Linked DNA regions of Mus musculus. The protein of the gene in region 1 purifies or fractionates together with the protein of each later gene. This does not show direct contact. Links are inferred from orthologs where the notes say so. Each region holds a gene or a part of one and is shown on either strand. Other genes may lie near its edges.

Region 1 (3,827 bases):
AGAGTCCTTTGAAAGTATCTGTGTGAAGAAGGTATCTAATTTTAAAAATTGATAGATAGATAAACATGATATAGCATATGTATATATATTTATGATGCATAGTTTGTTGCTTTCTGTGGATATTTTAGTGTGCTAATCAAGCTATTTAATACGTATCATTTCATATAAGTACTTTTTTTGGAATAAAAACACGAAGATTGGTTTTTTTTGTTATTACCAGACATTAAGCATACTATAAACGTTAGTATGTATCATTTACATTAAGCTTTTGAATAGGCACAGTTTATCTTTTGGTATGTGTTTTTGAAGGCAATATTTTGTTTTAATATTTTGAGAATAAAGAAATGAAAATAAGGAAAAAATTATGTAAAGAAGGAGCAGGTAGTCTTTCATAAGGCAGCTTAGTGGCTCTAAGTATTGGTGGGTGACATCTTAGATTCTTTGATGAAGGGGTCTTTATCAAATTTCTAGTGGCATGTTGCACAGAGATGAAGTAAAAAAAAAAAAAATCCTGGACTTTGTATTGAGGCTCAAAAGAATTTGGTACTGAGTAAACTCACCAAGGTGCTGAGCCAGGATTTTGGTATATGGCTGTAGTCACAGCACTCAGGAGTTGACAGAGGAGTTCATGAGTCTGAGATTAGTTGGTGCACACAGTAAGTGTCTTACTACCCCTCTCCTCAATAAAAAGTTGATTTTCAGCCATGTGATGGCACACACCTTTAATCTTTCGCAGCATCTGGGAAGCAGAGGCAGGCTCTTGAGTTCAAAGTCAGCCTGGTCTACAGAGTGAGTCTCAGGACAGCTGGGGCCACACAAAGAATCCTTGTCCCCTCCCCCATTGGTTTATTATATTGTTTGACTTCAAAATATACTCTACAGCTAATAGTAGTATAGCACTGGCATTAAGGAAAAAGGTCAAAGGCATAGGCCAGTAAAACAGGGGAGGGGCTAGACGTAAAGTAAACATGTAATGATAGTATAGTATGTTTTACTACATGTATCCCATATAAATTAGCCAAATCGGGGTATTTTGTACTTAGTTTATTAGGAGCCTTAAAGCCCCTCTTACCTAGTTTTTTTTTTTTTTAATTATTATATCATTATAGGTCAAAATTCTGAAGTACAATCACTCCTCTATGCTATAAGCAATAGAACCTATTCCTTCTATCCAATTCTATTTTGGTATCTATTTTGTATCCTCTATTTTCTCTCCTCTATTCTTCTCAACCACTAAGAGTTATACACACACACACACACACACACACACACACACATACACACACACACACACACACACACACAATAACGGAAAAAAACATACCAAGCCTTTAGACAAGTAGTGATACTCCATTATTATCTATAAATATTTCTTTTTTTTAACAGATACTTAACATGTATTCATCATACATAATTAGCTTGATATTCTGTGATTCTATCATCTTTATTACGATATTTACATGCAGCCTTATTTGCTTAAATAAATCCCATCTGTTTCAAAATGAAAAAGGCCTGGATAGATGGCTTAGCTTTTAAATTGTTTGCCGGACAAGCATGACAGTGCAAGTTGGGATCTTCAGTAGCCACATAAATGTCAGGCAAGTGTGATGGAGCCTGCCTGAAATTCTAGCATCGGAGAAGAGGAGCTAGGGAGTTCCCAGAGAAAGCTGGATAGCTGGACTCATTGAATCAGTGCGCTCTAGGTTCAAAGGAGAGACCATACTTAATGTATAAGTTAGGAAGCAACTAAGGCAGATGCCCCATGTCAACCTCTGGCTTCCACATTATGCATATAATGTGCGCAGGTACCTGTGAATCTGCATATATTCAATCACATCACATAACACACACAAAAAAGGAAAAGTATGTGTTTTTAAGTATCATTCTAATGGCATTTGTATTTTTATGACCTTTTCTACAGAGCTTAACTATGGTGTAGATTATGTAACTTTTGGAGCTTCCTCGGGAAGCTTTATTTATGAGAAAAGAATTTCAGATTTTAAATTAGTGACTAGAATAATCGTGTTGCATAGTTGTTGTGAACATTAGGTTTTCTCTCTTGTTTAGTTAAACAGAATACTACTTGGCTAATAGTTGAGTTTTCAGTTTATTTTTTTCTGATTGTCACATGTAGATGCTCCACGCCCTACAAATCATGCCCGTCCTCCATCAACCAGTTTGATTTATGACTCAGATTTGGCTGTGTCTTACACTGACCTTGATAACCTCTTCAATTCTGATGAAGATGAATTAACAGTAAGTATCCTACTAATGATTAGGATTAAGTTAAATTTCATTGATTTCATAACAGTTTGAGTTTTGGAAGTGATTTATGACTTTATTACTATGTTTTAGCTCTGAACAGTAGGAAATATTTTATAATAAAACACATTTGATTGATTTTTACTCTCATGTTAAAGTCACCTTGACATGGTTTCCTGTAAATCTTGATGTGGGTATGTTTGAAAGATAGATGATCAAGTTTCATAGTTCTACCATGTAATTTTTTTTTCTTCAGTCTTTAGAATGATTTTTCTGTTCTTTGATCCTGTAGTTTGAGAGGTGACTCTGGAATTGAATTAGAGAATGTTTAAGTAATTAACATTAGGACTTTATACCTTACCAATTTCATAAAAATGCTAGTTCTTAGCCGGGCGTGGTGGTGCACACCTTTAATCCCAGCACTCGGGAGGCAGAGGCAGGTGGATTTCTGAGTTTGAAGCCAGCCTGGTCTACAAAGTGAGTTCCAGGACAGCCAGGGCTACACAGAGAAACCCTGTCTCAAAAAACCAAAAAACCAAAAATGCTAGTTTTTCTCAAATTATTTGACCTTACTTCTGTTACTACGAGACATAGTCTTGAAAATGGTAAAGGAGAAACCAGAAAATACTACTTCATCGTTCACACCTGTTTTCAGAGAAAGTTGAAGATAAAAGTAAACACTTTAGGGCTGGCAAGATGGCTCAGTGGGTAAGAGCACTGACTGCTCTTCTGAGGGTCCTGAATTCAAATCCCAGCAACCACATAGTGGCTCACAACCATCCTTAATGAGATCTGATGCCCTCTTCTGGTGTGTCTAAAGACAGCTACAGTGTATAATACTGTATACGTATAATAAATAAATAAATAAATCTTTTTTTTAAAAAGTAAACACTTTAAATGATTTCCTAGAATGTCAGTCGTCTAGCAGTTAATTGGGTGCTACAGTGTCATGAAAGGGAGTCCTTTCCCATCTACTTAAAAGTAGTTTAGGACCTGACTGGCATATTTGGTGTTTGTTGTCTTATATAATATATCCTGTGAGGATATCTATTGCACATGTTTGAACATATGAAATCTATTACAGATATTGGTAAGTCAGATATAGCTCTATGTGAACATTCACTCTTTACCCTCCAGTGTAGTGTGTACTAGGGCACGCTTCACTAGGAAAAGAACTTTGAATATGGTCCATATAGACAGATCTTGTCTCTACTAACACCCAGACAGCAGCTGTGGCTTTTTGGAGGTAAAAAATTTGTCATGTGTGTGCTTTACTTACAAAGTGTTCAACATAAGACGTGGAACAAACGTTCCTTCTAAAAACATTGGTAAGAGCTGGATATGGTTGCACATGCCTTTAAACCCCGGTCTTGGGATAGGAGGCCAAAGTGTTGGGAGTTCAAACTCAGCTTTGTCTACATAAAAACAAGAAGCCTACTTAGGTTATATAAGGCTTTACCTATCTCAAAAAACAAACAATCCAATCCACCAAAAAATGTTGGTGGTGAGAGATGCTAAAACTTGGTTTGTTAGGAAGTTTCCCTGAACTTATGCTCAGTATTAGA
Region 2 (3,123 bases), about 26 Mb from region 1:
AAATTGGGATTATAGGTGTCCGTGTGCCTAGCTCAGAGGGCATTCTGGCAGTTTCTATCAAAAATGTAAATAAACTCTTTAATCCCGATTTCTCCTGGAATGACATCTTTCCAGAGCCCTTGCACAGTTATGTAAAGGTGCGTGTGTACAGTGCCCACTGTCATTTTGATGAATTGCAAACACTCCAGATAATTGTTTGTAAATAACTTCACAATGTAATCAAATGCATAGTAATGTGGAAAGACAAGAATGAGAGCCACATTTGATATACTGTCAGAATAACAAAAGTATACATATGGTTGTCTGAAATTGCACGTTTTGAAATGCTCTACTACAGTTTACATCTTATGCTAACACAGGTGTCTCTGAGACTTGGAACTAAAAGGACTTCCCTTTTCTATCACTTTGGATTTCTTCCTTCCAACATCTACTAAATAAGAGAAAAATTAATCTGGGGAAAGTGAAAGACAATGGACTCAGTAGTGGGGGCGAGGACTGAGGGTGCTAGCCCAGGGTGGTCAGCAGGGACAGATAGGTGCTTGCTTCTGTGGAGAGTGGACCTTTGATGGCCCCCAGATCAGGTTATCAGAGGTGAGGGGCGGGACTGGCCTGCTGGCCCATGTCTTCCCTTGCTTTTGCATTGCTGGAGGACACACTGCCCATTGTTGTCAGTTTGCTTCTATGCAAAAAAGAAATTGGGAAAAAACAGGGCATGTTCTTAGATGCTCTCATCTTTCCTAGGCTTTTATCCAAGAGCCTGGGACACATGTCCAAATGCCTATGCTAGCTGTGGGGAGGTGTTCTGCTCTTCCTGCCCCAAGACTATAGTACTTCTGCCCACTCTTTAAGAAAGCACAGCAGATGGGACCACGATGCTCTAACTTTGTCCTTGTTTGTATGACTCCCATCGATCCTGACCTAGTCTCTCGATTTCCCTTCTAAAGTTGGATGGTGACTAATGCTGAGCACAAAGGCAGGCCCATTTAGAGCTTTCTGCTTTTATTCCCTCACTATCAAGTCTGACCCTGTTCTTTAGACTTGGGGAGTTCACTGTTTCATAGTCATCCTGGCATAACAGGTTCCCTCTTAGTTTGAGCAGTTCCTGAATAGATGCTTTCCTCACCCCAGGACGTCTGTGCTATTTACCACTACCAACTAGGGCAGGTGAATGGCCTACTGCAGAGGTCTGCAGCCCAGCTCCCCTCCGGTGGCTTTCCCCTTGGGTTCTGTTTCTTGTCTGAAGGCTACCCCCTTCCCCCAAAGTTCACCCTGTAAGGAATGGGTATCTGGAGTTTGGAGAGTTTGAGAAGTGAGCGTCTGAAACATGGCCCACACTTTGCTTTCTGAATTAGAATTTCTTTGGGGCTGAGTTATTTTTACTACAGGAATTAATACTATAAACCTCCTTTCCTGTTTTAATTTTGTGGGTTGTTTGTTTTTCTTGTATCTTTCTAGCCTTGTGGTGTAAACCAGTTTTGTTAAAGTGTACTTTAAATTCTGACAGCAGATTAGTGGTGGCCCTCGGTGTCTGCACACTGAGCAGAACTGGTTCCAAAGCTCCTCTGCCTTCTGGCCTTGGGGCTGTGCCTTTGTTCCTAGGATTTGGTTCTTTCGCTTCAGTTTGATAGCAGGAATGGGGATCTCTGCCATGCCAGGGCTGTGAACGGATAGGAATGGTCTGCCTTCAAAATGACCTTGACCCAGAGGAAGGCATCTACAGAGCTGTGCTAGAGGAGAGCCTGTGTCTGCTGAGAGTGTTCCAGTCGCCTGGAGCTGGTTCACAATGTATAACTAGCTCTATAGGAGTTCATCTTTATGTTAACAGGCCTAAGCAAGCACCACAGCTCAGTGAAATGAAGGCCCTGCTAACTGGCAAAGCCTCCTGGTTGGCCTGCAGACGGCCCTGGTCAGGTGAAATGAGTGTTTGACCACGCCTGGTTTTCTTTGTTTTTGGAAGGGTCACCTGATGGTTGGTGATGGAGATGCGTTTAGCACAGCTGCACCTGCTTTCCAAGCACTCATCCTTTTGGCAGGTGGTGTTTTGGAAAGTTCCTGGGTTTGTGTGTGTGGTGTGTGCACACGGTTGAGTGGCAGGGGAAGCAGAGGCGGGCACTTGTGCCCAGCTTCATTACTCTTCCCAGTGTTGTCTTGCACAGAACCTGAGCCTTGCTGTTTCAGCTTCTGAAGTCTGCCTGTTTCTACATCCCCCATCCCACACAAGCCTGAGCTGGGTTTATAGGCATGTTCTTGAGCATAGTGTCCTATGTGTAGGGCCAGGTTGGTGAGACAGTTGTGATGAAGCCTACTTGGTCCCTGCCATCACAGAGTTAAAGTATTTGACTTGTCAAGTATGCTTTTATGAGCTTAAAGCTAAAGAACAAAATAAAACAAATAAAAGACCAATCCTTGTCTTCTGAGGTAGGCAACCTAGTTAGGGAACAGACATGTCTAACATCATTCTAAAAGGTATCAGAGGTGTAGAACAAGGAAGCCATTGTGGAGATGAGCTACACATGCTAATAACTGACTGCCTTCTCCTCCCCCTGTCGCCCAGCATGGACAAGGACAGCCCGGATCTCCACCAGGACCTGAACGCCCTCAAAACCAAGTTCCAGGAGCTGCGGAAGCTCATCGGCACCATGCCCGGCATCCACGTGAGCCCCGAGCAGCAGCAGCAGCAGCTCCACAGCCTCCGAGAGCAAGTGAGGACCAAGAACGAGCTGCTGCAGAAGTACAAGAGCCTCTGCATGTTTGAGATCCCCAAGGACTAGGCCAGCCCCCAGGAGAGCCGCCGCCAGACGGAAAGCATCACGCGGTGCTCCAGCTCCTTGGGAGCCCCGCTCAAAACTGGGAGGCCACATTCAGCTGGTGTGGGGCCTCAGTGCTATCTCAGCCCTGACCATGTCCCAGCAGATCTACAGGGCACAGAGGGAGAGGAAATAGCTGTTCCCTTCTTTCCCTCAGCTCCTCCCACTCCCGATAGCATCAGCATGGTATCAGGTACATACTGTTCCCATTAACAGCAGTTTCATGAAACATTTGCATAGAATTCACGGGGTAAATTAGGCCTGTACTCAGATGGCATGGATTTATTATAATTAAAGCAAGCTGTGAGAGTATGAA

What was found.
Region 2: the proteins of Med13 (region 1) and Med9 purify together in Homo sapiens (affinity purification with mass spectrometry; 6 studies listed by BioGRID and IntAct, with this or other methods). This does not show direct contact. The link is inferred for Mus musculus from reciprocal best matches to the Homo sapiens genes MED13 and MED9.

The regions. Positions count from the first base shown.
Region 1 is NC_000077.6:86,301,963-86,305,789, reverse strand, and holds part of Med13 (mediator of RNA polymerase II transcription subunit 13), read left to right. Parts: intron 1-1,346; exon of another isoform or gene 1,347-2,134; coding exon 2,135-2,256; exon of another isoform or gene 2,257-2,568; intron 2,569-3,827. UniProt on the Homo sapiens protein: Component of the Mediator complex, a coactivator involved in the regulated transcription of nearly all RNA polymerase II-dependent genes.
Region 2 is NC_000077.6:59,958,005-59,961,127, forward strand, and holds part of Med9 (mediator of RNA polymerase II transcription subunit 9), read left to right. Parts: intron 1-2,554; coding exon 2,555-2,771; 3' UTR 2,772-3,123.